Sus scrofa: one gene and its partners. The protein of the gene in region 2 purifies or fractionates together with the protein of the main gene of each other region. This does not show direct contact. Links are inferred from orthologs where the notes say so. Each region holds a gene or a part of one and is shown on either strand. Other genes may lie near its edges.

Region 1 (5,906 bases), on a different chromosome or scaffold from region 2:
AGGAGCCTCTGTTGTGGTGCAGCAGAAATGAATCTGACAGTATCGGTGAGGGTGTAGGGTTCAAACCCTGGCTTCGATCAGTGGGTTGGGGATCTGGTGTTGCTGTGAATTGTAGTGTAGGTCACAGACACAGCTTGGATCACGCATTGCTGTGGCTGCGGAGTAGGCCAGCAGCTGTAGCTCCAATCTGACCCTTTAGCCTGGGCACTTCCACATGTCATGGGTTTGGCCCTTAAAAAAAAAAAAAAAGTCAGTTAATCAAGAAGTTCCCACTGTGGTGCAACAGGATCAGTAGCATGTTGGGAGAGCTGGGACACAAGTTCAATCCCTGGCCCAGCACAGTGGGTTAAGGATCTGTTGCTGCTGCAGCTTTGGCTTACGTCATAACTAAGGCTTGGATCTGATCCCTGGCCGGGAAGCTCCATATGTCACAGAGTGGCCCAAAAAAAAAAAAGTCAGTTACTCATAAACATATGGGTTTATTTACTGACTCGGAGTTCTATTCCAGTGATCTATATGCCTACTCTTGATTGCCGCAGCTTGGTAGTAAGTTCTGAAATCAGAAAGTGTGAGTCCTATAACTCTGCCCTTTCATAAAATTGTCTTAGCTACTCTGGGTCTCTTGAATTTCTATTGCACTTCAGGATCAGCCTGTCCATTTTTGCAAAAGAAGCCACCTGGGGCTTTGATAGGGATTCCACTACATCAGTAGATCAAATTTGAAAACACTGCCATCTTAACAATATTAAGTCTTCCAATCCATGAACATGGAATGTCATTTCATTTATCTAGGTCCTCTTAAATTCAAGTGCATTTTTATTAGAATGAATCTACATTCTTTCATGATATCTGTGGCCCTGAAAAGAAAAATAAAATAAAAAATTATATATAAATAAACATTCTCCAGCAAAACGAGTTTTGTCCAATAAATATCACCCTAAGAGTAAATAAGCTGGCTGACCTTGAGATCGCAGGTGGTGTTGAGCAGCAGGTTGGAAGGTTTGAGGTCACGGTGCAGTACGTTAGCTGAATGGATATATTTTAACCCTCTGAGGATCTGGTAAAGAAAATAGCAGATATGGTCGTTGCTGAGGTGCTGCGTCTTCAAGAGCTTGTAGAGATCTGTTTCCATGAGGTCCTGTACTATGTATCTGTTTGGAAAGATTAAGGTAACACAACCAAAAGAGCTAGTTACACTAGCAAAGCACTGAAAACAGAAAGAATCCAAATGGTCCATTATTACATCATGAGGCCCAGAAGGGAAATGAGAAACTGATGGAAACTGAGTAGAGCTTAATGGAAGGAGTCCTGAGTAGCTGCTTCCTCCTGAGGTTCTGTGAAGTCTTCCTGCATTTCTTTTATTCATTTCTCTGTAAATACTATACGTCTCCTAGAGATTCATGCTAGATGAGACACAGTATGGGATTTGAAGAAACATGACTTAAAAACTAGTCATCTAAAAAAGACCTGATTTTCAAGGCAAAAGGTAAAGCAGGACAACAGGCGGCAGAAGGAGGCATTTCACTTAAAATATCACAACTTAGTAACAGAACTGTTTAAAAATGGAAAGACTGCCTAGAGACAGCGCACTGCCTCTCCCTGGAGGGGCGGACTGCACAGTGGGCAAGCTGGCAGGAATGCTGCACTGGCCAGAACCCTTTCTCCTGGCAGATCCTCCTCCAGCACACTTAACACTTCTTCTTTTTTTTTTTTTTTTTTTGTCTTTTTGCCTTTTCTTGAGCCGCTCCCGTGGCATATGGAGGTTCCCATGCTGGGGTCTAATCAGAGCTGGTGCTGCTAGCCTACGCCAGAGCCACAGCAATGCGGGATTCGAGCCACATCTGCGACCCACACCACAGCTCATGGCAACACCAGATCCTTAACCCACTGAACCTCATGGTTCCTAGTTGGATTCATTAACCACTGTGCCACGATGGGAACTCCGAGCACACTTAACACTTCTATCTTTCACATGCAGTCCTTACTCAGAAAGTATCCTCTGGACCTCCTGAGTCCAGATTTCTAAACGTTTGTCACAATTAATGACAACTTCAGACCTGAGATAGCCTTGAAGATCATGAAGGCTGTACCTCAGTTTTAACATGAGAAAACTGGACCCAGAAGTAAAATGACACTGAGATCAGGACAATCTCGACCTGACCAGGTGCTATACAGGGCCCCTTCTTTTAGTCTACTGCTCTTTCACCACAACAAACCATACCTTGAAAAGAAGTATCATGACTGGAAAAGGTGTTAACCAACATTTTCCATAACTACACTTAGAGAAATCTTTACTGAAACTGAGAAAATATAGAATAAACAGCAAAAAATATGCTAAAGCTACTAATAAAATGAATCAGAGAAAAAAAGTAAATGATGTGGGAGTTCTCTTGTGGTTCAGAGGGCTAAGGACCCAGCTTTGTCACTGCTGCAACTTGGATTGCTGCTTGGCATGGGTTTGATCCCTGACCCAGGAACTTCCACATGCTGTGGAAGAAGCAAGGAAAAAAAAAAAAGTAAATGATGCAAGTGTTATAGTAAGTGGCAAGCAGAGCAGAGTTTCCCCTTAAACATGTTTGACTACTTTTCTTCCACCACGATAAGTGGAAGACTTGATGTGTACTCAACCAGGTGATGGAGCAGTGGAGTCCACAGCCTGAAAAGGATACACATCTTTCATCTGCTCGATGGTTGGTGCTCGAATGATATCATTGATTCCAATGATGTTCTCGTGTCTAAAGCGCAGTAAGATTTTTATCTCCCTCAGGGTTCTCTGGCAGTAGGTCTGATGCTCAAATGGACTGATTTTCTTGATAGCTACTCGAACTTTGTTGACATTATCATAAGCAGAGCTGAAAAAGAGGGGAGATGGCATTAAAAACAGTTCTCAGAACACCCTGGCAGAAAGAACACAAAGTGAAGTATTCTGCTTAGAACTCTGGGCAAATACTTGTTTCACATGCATGAAGGCAGAATGCATATCACCCACAAAGAGGCCCTAAGTGAGGGAGGACATAGCAGGATGCCACAGTACACACTATGTATCTCAGAACCACCAGAGGGCCTGGCCCTGGAAACTGTATGGACACCAAATTTCTTTCTTTCTTTGGCCATACCTGCAGCATGCGCAAGTTGCTGGGCCAGGGACTGAACCTGCCACAGCTGTGACCAGAGCCACTGCAGTGACAACAGATCCTTAACCCACTGAGCCACCAGGTAACTCCTGGTTGCCCATTTTCAAAACCCCAGGAATATGGGTGGATTCCCCCCCCCCATTTTTCCCACTGTTTTTAACAGCAGCTGCATTCCGGTGAGAGGAATCGTTTCTGCCTCCATAACAGCTTCCTACTACTGTATCAGATTCCACTGACTCAGCAGAAATATTCCAATGACCATCAACTACATCTTCACCCCTAACAAAAATGGACCCAAGAGGGCAACAGGGATCTACTGCATAGCACAGGGAATTATAGCCATTATCTTGGAAAACTTTTAACAGAATATATAACCTATAAAAATACTAAATCAGGAGTTCCCATCATGGCTCAGTGGAAATGAATGTGACTAGTATCCATGAGGACCCAGGTTCGATCCTGGCCTCTCTCAGTGGATTAAGGATCCAGCATTGATGTGAGTATGGTGTAGGTGTAGGTCATAGACACAGCCTGGATCTGGCATTGCTATGGCTGTTGCACAGGCCAGCGACCCCTTGCCCGGAAACCTCCATATGCCATGGGTTCAACCCTAAAAAGACGAAGACAAACACCCCCCGCCCCATCATTATTCTGTACACCAAAAACTAAGTACTATTTAGTCAACTATATTTTAATGAAAAGGGGGATTGTTCCCTGGTGGTACAGTGGGGTTAAGGATCTGGCATGGTCACTACTGTGGCTCAGGTTTTGTTTTTGTTTTTCGTTTTTTTTTGTCTTTTTGCCTTTTCTAGGGCTGCTCCCATGGCATATGGAGGTTCCCAGGCTAGGGGTCGAATCGGAGCCGTAGCTACCAGCCTACACCAGAGCCACAGCAACACAGGATCCGAGCCGCGTCTGCAACCTATACCACAGCTCACGGCAATGCCAGATCCTTAACCCACTGAGCAAGGCCAGGGATCGAACCCGAAACCTTATGGTTCCTAGTCGGACTCGTTAATCACTGCTCCACGACGGGAACTCCCTGTGCGCAGGTTTGATCCCTGGCCCCAGAACTTCCACATGCCGTGAGCGAGGCCACCCTCTCCAAAAAGAAAGGGGACCCAAGAGGACATATTGATTGCTTACAGCAATTTTGTCTTACCTGCAAAATGATGTTGTCTTACCAACCCCCACCCCCAGAAATTTTATCAAGATGTCTATGTGGTCTTTAACAAAACCTAGAAAGTATTGTTCAAAAAATACCTTCATATTGGGGAGTTCCCATCGTGGCTCAGCAGTAACAAACCCAACTAGTATCCATAAGGACACAGGTTTGATCCCTGGCCTCATTCAGCGGGTTAAGGATTTGGCACTGCCGTGAGTTGTAATGTAGGTTGCAGACACAGCTCGGATCCCTCATTGCTGTGGCTGTGGTGTACACTGGTTCGACCCCTAGCCTGGGAACCTCCATACGACATGAGCGTGGCCCTAAAAAGACTAAAAAAACAAAAACAAAAACACCTTCATAACTATAACATAGGGCTCAGTTCTCTCCCAAGTTGTCCTGAAGTTCTGACTTAACAGAATTTCAAGCAGAAGCAATAATATCTTCAATTTTATAATGAATTTGTATCATGAACAGTACTACTATCTTTACGATCAATATTCTACAAATCTTTTCTGTAAGAGCTTTTAATATTAACAAATACCAACATCTGGTTCATCAATCAAAGCAATGCAACACAAACAGGCAGTAACATACTACTTCTGGCTTCCTCAGGGTGCTAAAAATGGAAATAAATAAGTTTATTCTCAAGTTTGTGCTTTTAGAATACTTATCAATCTACTTATTCTGATAATTACTAATGTATCTGTCTATCATAAAACCATGCCATATCAGAGACCTTGCCTAACTCAGCTTTAATTTTCCCACAACACCATTAATAATCTGCACTCAATACTCTGAAATGAAGTCTATTTCCTTAAATAAAAGAATCACTACTCAAATCTTATTTTGCTTTGGTTTGCTACACGAAAGCCTAAATCACTGATTTTTAGGTAGACAGGCAAAGGTATATGTTGTTCAAGCAAGCTTATTCAATATAGGGAATATTTATTTCTAAGTATTTATGTATTTTTTATTTTTTTTTCTTTATTGTCTTTTTTGTCCTTTTAGGGCTGTACCCTGCGGCATATGGAGGTTCCCAGGCTACAAGCCTATGCCAGAGCCACAGCAACACCAGAGCCAAGCCACATCTGCGACCTATACCACAGCTCACAGCAACGCTGGATCCTTAACCCACTGAGCGAGGCCAGGGATCGAACCTGCAACCTCATGGTTCCTAGTCGGATTCCTTTCTGCTGCACCACGAAGGGAACTCCTATATATTAAAAAAAATTTTTTTTTTTCTTTTCAGGGCTGCATCCACAGCATATGGAAGTTCCCAGGACAGGGGTCAAATTGGAGCTGCAAATGCCAGCCTATGCCATAGCAACACTGGATCTGAGCCACATACACCACAGCCTGTGGCAATGCTGGATTCTTAACCCACTGAGCAGAGGCCAGGGATCAAACTTGCATTCTCATGAGCACTATGTCAGATTCTTAACCTGCTGAGCCACAACGGAAACTCCTATACTTATGTATATTACTAAAGTAAAAAATTTTGATAATTCAAATTATAAAAATTGAACAAAAGAGAACATAGGTTCAACTAGTTCTAAGACACTGGTTAAATTCAACTAATTTACTGAAGCATGATGGTTGAACAT
Region 2 (5,450 bases):
AGAATCAAGGGCAGGAGGGAGGCTTCTGTTCACTCTCTACTGTTTTTTTTTTTTTTTTTGGCCACACCTGTAGCATATGAGAGTTCCAGGCCAGGCTCGACCGCACCACAGCAGCAACCCAAGCCGCTGCAGTGACCACGCTGGATCCTTAACTCCCTGCACCACAAGAGAACTCTCTTTTTTTTTTTTTTTTTTTTTTTTTTTTTTTTTTTTTTTTTTTTTTTTTTTTTTTTTTTTTTGCTCCCGCATAGTTCCAGTATTGATCAGCTGACCACCCCCGCCACACCCCGGCCGCCTGCACCCCACGCTCCGCCCATCTTAACCCACTGGCAAGGCAGGACGAACCCGCACCTCATGTTCTATCATTCGTTACCTGCCACGGATCTGGATTTTTTTCTTTTTTAAAACCGTGTGCACATCTTACTTTCTTCCACACATTAAAAGTGTGAAAAGCTAAAAGAAAGAAGGCATTGTTTCTCAAGTGTGTGTTAATTCAAGATCCTGAGTCATGGATTCTGCCTGGACCTACCGAATCGGATCGGGGAAGGTGGAAACCTGGGACCTTGCGTCTTTATCATGTGCCCCAGAGGATTCTGATTCACTTGGAAGAGTTTGAGATCCCTGCGCCAGGAGCTCAGAGGTCAAGGATGGTCCCGCCACATGGTGAAGACCAAGGCCTGCAGGGGAGGCTGCTGGGTGGAGAGGTGAGCGAGGTCGTTGACATTTTGACAGCATTTAAAGCCTGTGGGTAAATCGTGACTTAATTAGATGTCATGGGCTGTAACAGAGACAGAAGGCCTGTAGGAGCTGCCCCAGATGCCTCACCAGGAACTGCTTTGCCTCCGGCTGTCTGCGTCCCAGTCACTCTGGCCTCTTTCGGTGTCTGAAACGTGCTCCGTTCTTTGCTGCCTTCCCGCGTGCTATTCCTCTTGCCGGGGTGCCGGGACTCCTCATCTGCCCGACGGTCACCACCTCCAGCCTGGGTCAGAATCCCCTAGCTCCTGGCCTTCTGTTTTGGAGCGATAGTGTTATGACTTCATGTTTGCTTTGGTCACTGCCATCCCTATACTACGCCTGGCACATGATAGGGATTTAAATCAGGATTGTTCATGGAGGGAATGAATGAGCCTTAGGAGGAAAAGGGGAGAGGGTGCCCTGCAGGAGTGGAGCCGGTGGTGGGGGTGCGCGTGCCAGCGGAGTAGCGCTCGACTCCTGCCAGCCCAGTCTGGGGCTTCAGCCAAGCCTCTGGGAGTCCCTGATGAACTAGAGGAGCAGCGTAGGACGTAGTGTCTTGGACTTGTCCACAGCAGCACCACTGCCTTCGGCTGCCCAGAGCTTTGGCTTCTGTGTGCAGTCTAAGGACCAGGCTCCTGGGAGGTGTCTGCCAGGTGGCTTCTGCCGCTGAGGCCCGCAGCTGCGGTTCCACCAAGCCCCAGGAATGGACCGCTTGATCGACCAGAAGGAGCAGTGGAAACAAACACTCGGTCACAAGTCACCACGCAGTCATGTGTGTCAGCCGCGACGGGGAAGGGCCTGCCCTGCCCAGTCCCAAGAGCATCCCATCTGCAGGAACGTGAGCTATTACTCCCTCTGTGAATGAATGAGTTTACTTTGTGGCTTACCACATTGTGCCCTTGAGTTTGGACTGACCACATCAAGTTTCCATGTTTACCGTGGAACTCAGGTACAGCTCAGCCATTCAGGAAACGTGTACTGACAGCCTGGGGGCCTGGTGACATGTGGGGACAGAGAAGGGATGGGGCACAATGGACAGTCGTGGACGAGCACACGAAGTCCTCCTTAAACGTGCCGTAGAAAACACACACACGCGCGTGCCTATTAAAAGGTTTATTTTCTTCTTTAGCCTCAGAAACAAAGTGGCCTTGCCCCCCAGAGGGTCTCATCCTGAAGGAATGGGAGGCAGAGGTGGTGACAGGCAGGGGTGTCGGGGTGAGGTTGAATGTGGGAGCTCGTCCTCCCCCTTTCCCTGCTGTCACGCCTCTCCAGTGGCCCCTCCACAAAACTTAGGTATGAACACAGCGTGCCACCCGCTGCGGGGTTGGGGAAGCCCAGCTGTCGTGGAAAGATTAATGCCCATGTTCCCCAAGAGATGGGTCCAGTGCGTCTCTGGTGGGGAGGGGGAGGCGGGCTGGTCGCGGCAGCCGCCCAGGGAGAGGGGAGGGCAGGGGAAGAGAGGCTGGAGCCCCCGGTGCCAGCGGGGTCTCGGTCCTGCCCCTCCCTCTCCCAGCACCATCCACTCCCTTCTGCCAGCCGCCCCCCGCTGCCGCCGCCGCCTAGCAGAACTGGTCTTCGCCGTCCTCGTCCTTCATCCCCTTCAGCCGGAGCCGGGCAAAGTCCTCGAACACGATGTCGTCGTCCGTGGCATAGCTTGGTGTGGAGGGAGGGGGTGAGGCGAGGGCTCCTGACCCTCTTCTCCACCCCCACCCCCCCAGAGACAGAGGCGTTAGAGCAGCAATGGGACTGGAGGTGTTGGCAGGAAGGGACCCGGAAGAGGTGGCCATGGGCAGCTCGCAAGGCTGCCTCATCTCGCTTGGATGCTTCGACCACCCCCCCCACAAGAGGAAAAAATGGGTAGATGTGAATGTAAGGCATCTCCGACCAAGGGGCGTCAGAGCTGGGGCCGAGGCGTGTCTTACTTGGTATCAAATTCAATGAGGTTGGTGTCCACCGGGACGTCTGTTTCTGGCGCAGCTGAGGGGAGAAGGAAGGAGGGGGGGTGGGTGGGTGCTGAAAGGACCCGCCTTGTCTCCACTGGCCCTGCTTCGGGCCCGCTCTCTGGGGGCTGGGGCGGGTGGCAGGCTCACCTGACTGGGGTCTGGGGAGGGTGATGTGCTCCTGGGGCTTGGGGTGCATGAGAACAAAAGGCAGCTCCACGGAGACATCTCTGAGGGGGGGGAGAGGCGGCATGAAGAGAGGCCCGTGCAGAGCCCCCGACCCCCAGGCTCCCACCCGCAGCACTCACCCGCCTCGAGACACCACCAGCTTCACCTTGACCCTGTAGGACACGAGGATTCCCAGCACCTCCTTGTTGGCACCCTCCTTCACGCTGCGGGGGGGAGGCGGGGGGGGGAGTTGGACCAGAGCCCACGGCCTCCTCGCACCCTAGCCCACCCTGGGGGCCTCCACGGGGATTCTGAGCAGGAATCCCCGGCTCCAGCAGCACGGGCTGTTGCCGTGTAACGTACCCCATCCATCTTCGTCTCGCTCTCTCGGTCACAGCCCACGTCCTTGGGACCCATCAGCCCTGCACTGACCTGCTTTCCCTCAGCCCTCTGACCGCACCTCCTGCTCCCACGCTGGCCTGCCGTGTGTGGTCAGGCACAGGGCGCAGGGCCCGGGGGTGAAATCCGCCCCCACTCTGTGCAGCTGTACCTGCTCCAAAGACAGGGGCCCTCTCGCCTGACACCTCTGCAGCCCTGCTGCCTTTGTGTCCTTACTCCAAGTCGCCTCTGGATTTTGCCTTTTCTGGCCACCCTCTGTAAAGTCACCCCCCCCTTGATACCTCCCTTCTCTGCCTGCCTTTTTCTCAACAGCTGGCACTAAACATGCTGTATATTTTGCCATTTATCTGGTTTGCCTGGCCTCCTCCCTGAGAACGTAAGAGATCTTTTGGGTCTGTTCTGCTCCCTGATGGGGCCGTGGCCCCGGGGACAGAGCCTGGCACACGGCTGGCACGGAATGAGTGTCTCCTGTGCTGTAGGACCCCCCACCCCCACCCCCTCGTCCCCTCACATGGTGCTGGACGCCAGGTTGGTGTCCTCATGCTTGAGCTTCCCGTCCAGGGCGAGACCGCGCTTCTCTCGGTTGTTGCTGAGCAGGGGGGTTATGGTGTACACCTTACAGAACGTGGAACTGGGCGACACCTGGTCACTGGGGCAGGGGGACACGAGAAGGAAACTCTGGGAAGGGCCAGGCGGGCGGAGGGGGTGGCTCCCACCCCCAAGCGGCTTCTGCCCCATCACCGGCCCCTTCTCCCTTTGGCCTTGGGTCACGGGCTCAACCCGCTCCAGAACATGAGCGGCTCAGAGCCCCCAACGGGAGGGAATGTGCTTGGAAGCGGAGACAGCGGGGAAGGACTCCCGCCTTCCTCACACTCCGGGGCCCCTCTTCCCCCCTGACCAGGGGGACCCAGGGCTCTTCTGCTACTCACTCTTGTTCGAGCTGAGCCACGGGGCACTTGTACTGGGCCGTGCTGAAGAGGCAGATGTCCGCGTACTGTCTCACTGTGGGGCGGGGCCAAGCAGCTCTGCATGGAGTGTAGACAGCAGCCCACCCAACTCCAGCCCGCGCCCCCCCCCCCCGCAAGGACCCCAGGTCCTGGCCCTTTAGCATCCCTGCCTGAGGACATGTGCCCCCCACCCCCCCATCCTGGGACAGCCTGCATTCCTTGAGCCCCCCGGGGTCTCCAGCCCTGGGGTATGTCCTGTGGCTGAAACTCCCTCCCTTCAGGCAATTTTCCAACCCCCACCTCCTACCAGAGACTTTGATCTTCTTGACAGTCTTGGTGGAGTTGTTGGTGACGTGGACGTTGACATTGAGGGGCTCCCCATGGTAGTACAGCTTTTGGGGGGAAAGTTAATTGATGTCTCTTCACTGGTCCTGTTATTACTGCGCCCCCACCTCCCGCAAACACACACCCAGTGCTGGGCCTCCTCCATCTAAAGCCAAGCCCACCCCTGCAAGGAAGGCAGCCTCCTTTAGAAGCGCCCCTCCCCAGGGTCTGGCCTGCACTGCAGCACCCTGTCGCCCCCCCCACCTCCTTGTCCAGGGACGCCTCGAGGTGCAGGGACCGGTCAGACATGAGGAAGTGGCGTGTGGTTTCAGCTGAAGGCTGGGGGCCGGGTTTCTCGGGGGCAAACTGCACCTTTCGGATCACCAGCCGCACAGAGTTCCTGGGGGCAGGGAGGAGGGGTCAGACAGACTCCAGACGTGGCCGTGGCCGAGTTCTCACCCCTCACTTCTCACCTCCAACCAGGCCTGGGAGCTGGGAGGTTATGGTCAGACCCAAGGGGGGGGGTGCTTTCCTCACCTTTTGTGGCTTTTCTCTTCTACCGATTTGGCACAGAAGGCTCGAATCTCAAAGTCCACCCCGCAGGCCTTGAGAGGGGGAGAAAAGGTCACATCTTACACAAGCCCCTGCCGCCACCACCACTCCCTTCCTTCCCGCTGCCTTCGTCTTGGGCAGCCACTCTTGCCCCATCATGCTCTGAGGCGTGCAGGGCCCAGGTCTTCCTCCTCTGTCTCCGCGAGGCCCGGCACCCGGCAGAGGTCGGACCTGGCTGTGCGAGGCGAGCCCCCATACGCCGCTGTGTGCAGGTCATGAGCAGGAGGCAGTGTCCCACATGCGCAGTGACCATTCCTTGCACGTGCCCACTGCTCCCAGGGACATTTTCCTACCCTTAGCCCCACCTGGACTTCTCAGGGCCCAT
Region 3 (5,906 bases), on a different chromosome or scaffold from region 2:
CACAACATTGTAAATCGACTATACTTCAATAAAACTTTAAAAATGAGGAAAAAAAAGCCTCAAATGTCAGTTGAGGAGACCTCAGGGACCACTGCCTCAGCCCCTCTTGCCCACTACCTGGACTGCCGTGCCCACCTGCTCAGGATTAGAGCTGGCCTGGCCTGGCCAGGTGTGCAGTTGACTGTCAAATGGAGACAATCACATGATTCCCAAGCACAAGACTCTGCATCCATAGGATGCTCTGGAAAACCTCTCCACAGGCAGGCCGATGCCTGCTTGGTCCCTAAAAAACATGCTGAGTTTAGTTCTGGCTCAGACCTGGCAAGTTAAGGGCTCACCTCCGATTTTGACTGTGAAGTCTTCGGCCACCATACAGTTCCGGGCAGCGAGGTCTCTGTGGACAAACTTATTGGCGTTGAGGTATGCCATGCCATCTGCAATCTCTCCAGCCATCTGGATCATTTTGCTTAGGCTTGGAGGTGCTAGGACTGGATTATTCTGTTGGAGATGAAGAAAAAAAAAATTCAATAAGACTTTAGGAATTTTTCTCACCCTGCATTCTTTCCGGGTTTGCATCTTTGTCCAATCTGAGACCACAGGTCAACTGCTAAGAAACCTGGACTGGCTCAGAAGGACTGTACTGCCATGGAGGCCACGGCACTTGCCCTCTGACCATGTCACACAGAGCTGCAGAGAGAAGCACCCATGAGCACAACTTGGGACCAGCATTTTCTATTTTGGGTGTGGCAAACATCATTCAAAGTGAAACAAGCAATTCTGGATGTTAAGAATTCTAGATACTCAAATTCCAATTAGTCTGTATGTTCCTTTTATTTCTACAAAGTCTTTACAGGGAAAAGGAGGGAAAGGACATTACAGAGACCGTGTGGAAATAAGCAAACGACTTTGCCAAATGGACCCTGGGCGAGTTATTTCCCACGTAAGCTTTGTTATAAACTATTTAATCCTTTTCTTTCTCGACTTTCTTCTGAAGTACAAAAACATCGAGATTATTTTTTTTCACTTTACAGAGGGGTATTCCTTGGCTTATTATTTTCCGTGGGTGCTGAGGAAAGCAAGCCCTTGACAGTTCACTTAAGTCCAGCAGAAGCTTATTCTGGAGAGCCCCACATCCAACAGTGACAAGTAACAGGAATAAACGGTTCCTCTTTGCAGAGGAGGGCAACATACTGGCTTTGGAACTGAAGAGAAATATCCCCAAATAATAAATCCATTTAGAAAAGAGTTTCATATAAAAGGTGTGCCTAAGTCTCTCCACCGAAAAAATTGAAAATGCAGAAACCAACCAGCACCCCAGTTTCAATGCTGACCACCACGTGCTTGTATAAGTGCAACCAACTTGAGCTGGTTCCCCTGATTGCAGAGAGCTCTTACAGTGGGGCAAAGCCATCCTACTCTGACAGGTCCCACGTGTCCCCTTCCCAGCTCAAACCCTGGGCCACAGGGAGAGCACGCCTAAGCTCCTCTTGGGCGCTTTCCCACAGGAATCAAGGCTGGTTCACTGCCTGGATGAAGACCTGGGGCCATGCCTGTGTCTGGCCAGGGTCCATGCACAGAGGATGGTGGCTTTGCCCAGTCAGGAACTAGCTTCTGCAGAGAGCTGGCTTCGAGAAGCAGTGTAACCCTATATTTGACCATATATTTGACTTCTGAAGAGGCTACGAGGACTATCTGTGGTGATTTTTTTTCTTTTTAGGGCTGCACCCGTGGCATATGGAAGTTCCCAGGCTAGGGGTCGAACAGGAGCTGTAGCTGCTGGCCTACACCACAGCTCACAGCAATGCCGTATCCTTAACTCACTGAGTGAGGCCAGGGATTGAACCCACATCCTCATGGATACTAGTCGGGTTCGTTACTGCTGAGCCAAAGTGGGAATTCCCAAAAAGAACAACTTTAAATGTGACAAATCTAAAAGTGAATTTCTGGTCTGAAAAGGACTTTGGTAGTCATCTTGTTTAACCCTCTTATTTTGCACATAAGGAAACGGAGGCCCAGAGGCCTGAAGCAGCCACTCCATGCAGACAGCCAGCATGTTGCACATTTTTTATTCTGCACCTAAGACTGGGGATGAAGGAATTGAGTGTTTCAGACTTTTCAGAGGTGCCCTGAATGTATCTGCCACATCTCCAGTAACCCATATGATGACGCTTTCTCCTTCCTGCTATCTTATGTATAACACAGTGAGCTGGGCAAAGGCACTAAGAGTCAGGGGAGTTGGGGACCCACGCTGGGCAGAGCGGAGGGTGGGCATGTCATAGACCACTCTGCCCAGGGCCTCAGTCCACACTTGGCCTCGTGACCACCCTCAGCACCACGCAGATCATCTGCTGCGGATGAAGGAAGCCATGTGTGAACAGGCGCGTGAAACAGGTCTCTCTCTAGTCAAGGAACACGCTCTTCTAAAGGACCCAGGACCAAGCACATGGCAAGAAAAGTGCATGGATTTAAAGACACAGTACCTCCTGGGGGAAGGTTCTAGAGGAAAGGGAACAGATAGCATGGCGTTTCGGTGAACATTGAAACTGACCTCCATTTCTGGTCTCAGAGACCGGAGATAACTTTTGAGGTCCCCCCGGGTCATCAGTTCCATGATGACCAGCGTTGGCTGGCCCTGGGACACCACACCCAGCAGCCGCACCTGTGAGGGGGAAAGAGAAGGAGACAGGGGGTGAGCCCCCGCAGCCCCCCAACCCCACCAGGACCACCCTGAGCAACCCTGGATGATGTGGCACCAGACTCCCTGGACCTGCACATCCCCCCCAACCTTCTTGAGCAGTGAGAGGGATCCTACAGAGACAGGATGAGTCGCAAACCCATAAGGGTGGCCCCAACCCTTGGGGCCCTTCCCTCACCACGTGGTGACAGTTGAACTCCTTCATCACGGAGGCCTCGTTGAGAAACTCAATCCTCTCACGCATGCTGGCGGCCTCATTCACTGTCTTAATGGCCACCCTGGTCTCAGGCTCATCTTTGACCACACCCTTGGCGACGCCTTCATAAACCATCCCGAAGGAGCCCTGTCCCAGCTCCCGGCTCATGGTGATCTTCTCCCGGGCGACCTCCCACTCGTCGGGCACGTACACTGGGGAGAGAGGCCAGAGCTGAGCTGGGGGTGCTCTGGGGAAACTCCCGGCCATGGAGCAAGAGGCCCCTTCCTACAGCCCATAGGGAAGAAGGTCAGGATATGGCGACACAGTCTGTTCTGGAGTCTCCCATGGGCTTGGTTTCTGCATGGCTACTGTTCAGTTAAATACTAGAATTTCAAGTCTTCAAGGATTCCTAGGTAATTCAAAGATACCAACAGCACAGAAGAGCCAGGAGGTCATCCAATTTGAGATGTTGCTCTAAGTATAAAACTTGATGCTGGATTTCAAAGACTTAGTATCAAAAATAATATAAATACTCCAGTAATTTTTATACCGGCTGTATATTAAAACTGATAGTACTTTGGATATACTGAGTTAAATAAAATGTTCTCAACATTTATTTCACCCATTTCTTTTTCATACTTTGTATGTGGCTACTAGAAACAATTGCGGTTTCTTATGGGACTGGCATTATATTTCCCCTGGTAGCATTGCTCTGGTCTAGACAGTTTCCCTGGCTTTGCCAGAGACACTGGGGGTGGAATGAGATATGAAAGCAACTGATCTCCAGCACCAGGTTGTGGGGGAAGGCAGTTAGTGTGACCATCTCAGAGGGGCAGGGCTCTGTGAACCCAGGGACCTCCCACCACTGGGGTGATGGGCTGGGTGGGGGGGCTTCATAATGATTAAGCCTGGTAAGATTTCCTCTCCAGCCTATGCTTCTGGTCAGACGCAATTTGTTTTAAGAACATAAATGAATAATTCTGTGCAGGAAAGAAGGACAAAGAAAGAGGGAAAGGAAGGAGGGAGGAACGAAAGACAAAACAAAACAGTGGACCCATCCTACAACTCTGATGGGTAGGCTGAGAACTAACATGAGATCAACCTGGTCTATAGCGCCATAAGAAATGTTAATCCTAATCCCATTCTTCCAATGCTCTGTGCTTTCGTCCTTGCCTGAGAGGGGAACTCCCACCAGGCTCCGCTGGTAGGAAAGTGCTGGTCCTGGCTCAGAAATGCAGAAGGACTGGGAACCTGGAATGGCATCTGTGTTTGCTGTTACGCTTTCAGATATTAACCTTGAGCCTGAGGTGGATGTAAGAGAAGCAGGGGATTGACAACCATATTCCGACAACCCCAAGTCCCAGGTATGTACCTTTAAATGATGTCTTAAAAGAAAGATGTCTGTAACTCAGGAGATACAACCAATTTACACATCTAATGAGTGTCCAATATGGACTATATTAATCAGTCTAGAATCTTCTTTCGCATACATTTTTGTATATTATAGCACATATCTGTGTGTTCAAGAGTTGCCCAGAAGGATCGCACCATCCATGTGGCCCCCGAGAGGAAGCTACTGCCTGCTTAGGAGGGAAAGTATGAAAGACAACCCAGTGGTTACACTCTTCCCAACCCCCCCTCAGAAGGTATAAAAAGAGGCTGTCTATATCCATTTATCTCTGAAAATCCAGGCTTGCTTTTAATCAGAATTAACTATGTAGCCACCATGAAACATGGAGTTAAAACCAAACACATTTCCTCCTTAGGAGGTGGCTGAAGTCAATCCTGGCAATCCTTTCTCTGCAGTCCACCCCCGAAACTCCTGGCTTCAGCCAGCAGTCCTAAGCCCTGCCAGCCAGCAGAGGTTTTATGCGCACAATGTTATCAGCTTTCCCCTGTAGGGGATTTTCAGTGCACTCTGGAGAATGGTGACATGCAGATTAGCTTTTGGAGAGAAAAGTTTTTAAAGCATTTCTGAACTGCAATGTCATTTTGTTGACCCTTGAGGAAACTAGCTCTAAGATGCTTGTCAGGAGGCCGGAACAGAGTAAGTTAAATAAGGTGATAGTGTTTCTACCTGTTGACCTGGGTTTTGCTTCTTTGTTTTGTTTTTAAAGAATTAAGACAATTATTGGAATTCCCATTGTGGCTCAGTGGTTAACGAGTCCGACTAGGAACCACGAGTTTGCAGGTTTGATCCCTGGCCTTGCCCAGTGGGTTAAGGATCCTGTGTTGCCGTGAGCTGTGGTGTGGGTCGCAGATGCAGCTCAGATCCCGAGTTGCTGTGGCTGCGGTGTAGGCCGGCAGCTATAGCTCCCATTGGACCCCTATCCTGGGAACCTCCATATGCTGCAGGTTGCGGTCCTAAAAAGACAAAAAAAAAAAAAAAAAAAAAAAAAAATTTAAGGCATATTATGAAAACATTCTGGAAAAACACAAAATTTGAATTCAAACTGCCATCAGAGGAGTTCCCGTCGTGGCGCAGTGGTTAACGAATCCGACTAGGAACCATGAGGTTGCGGGTTCGGTCCCTGCCCTTGCTCAGTGGGTTAACGATCCGGCGTTACCGTGAGCTGTGGTGTAGGTTGCAGACGTGGCTCAGATCATGTGTTGCTGTGGCTCTGGCGTAGGCCGGCGGCTACAGCTCCAATTCGACCCCTAGCCTGGGAACCTCCATATGCTGCGGGAGCGGCCCAAAGAAATAGCAAAAAAAACAAAAACAAAAACAAAAAACTGTCCTCAGAGTCTGATAGGATTGTATTAGTTCTCTCTAAAAACTTTCTGGTACTGCAGAGTCAAAGCCACAAATGCCTATCTTCTCTGCTTTATTTTGAAGTCGAGCAGCATCTCTGAAGTAGTCTCACTCCACACTGACAGAGGAGGGGAGCGGCCTTGCATTTCCCCTATTAATTCCGTTAAGTGTGTGATGACTCCTCACCTTCCTTGATTACCAAAAAATCCTATTATTTATACAAACAATGCATAAAAACTGTTCTTTTATGAAAGAAAAAGATC

Evidence for each region.
Region 1: the proteins of ARRB2 (region 2) and MAPK1 purify together in Homo sapiens (affinity purification with western blotting; 3 studies listed by BioGRID and IntAct, with this or other methods). This does not show direct contact. The link is inferred for Sus scrofa from reciprocal best matches to the Homo sapiens genes ARRB2 and MAPK1.
Region 3: the proteins of ARRB2 (region 2) and IGF1R purify together in Homo sapiens (affinity purification with western blotting; 4 studies listed by BioGRID). This does not show direct contact. The link is inferred for Sus scrofa from reciprocal best matches to the Homo sapiens genes ARRB2 and IGF1R.

The regions. Positions count from the first base shown.
Region 1 is NC_010456.5:50,136,879-50,142,784, reverse strand, and holds part of MAPK1 (mitogen-activated protein kinase 1), read right to left. Parts: intron 2,853-5,906; coding exon 2,670-2,852; intron 1,152-2,669; coding exon 962-1,151; intron 1-961. UniProt on the Homo sapiens protein: Serine/threonine kinase which acts as an essential component of the MAP kinase signal transduction pathway. MAPK1/ERK2 and MAPK3/ERK1 are the 2 MAPKs which play an important role in the MAPK/ERK cascade.
Region 2 is NC_010454.4:52,159,943-52,165,392, forward strand, and holds the end of ARRB2 (beta-arrestin-2), read right to left. Parts: intron 5,119-5,450; coding exon 5,051-5,118; intron 4,914-5,050; coding exon 4,778-4,913; intron 4,582-4,777; coding exon 4,172-4,581; intron 3,892-4,171; coding exon 3,754-3,891; intron 3,068-3,753; coding exon 2,984-3,067; intron 2,906-2,983; coding exon 2,826-2,905; intron 2,749-2,825; coding exon of another isoform or gene 2,713-2,748; coding exon 2,658-2,712; intron 2,389-2,657; coding exon 2,295-2,388; 3' UTR 1,834-2,294; downstream 1-1,833. UniProt on the Homo sapiens protein: Functions in regulating agonist-mediated G-protein coupled receptor (GPCR) signaling by mediating both receptor desensitization and resensitization processes.
Region 3 is NC_010443.5:137,406,728-137,412,633, forward strand, and holds part of IGF1R (insulin-like growth factor 1 receptor precursor), read right to left. Parts: intron 3,104-5,906; coding exon 2,874-3,103; intron 2,660-2,873; coding exon 2,549-2,659; intron 499-2,548; coding exon 339-498; intron 1-338. UniProt on the Homo sapiens protein: Receptor tyrosine kinase which mediates actions of insulin-like growth factor 1 (IGF1). Binds IGF1 with high affinity and IGF2 and insulin (INS) with a lower affinity. The activated IGF1R is involved in cell growth and survival control.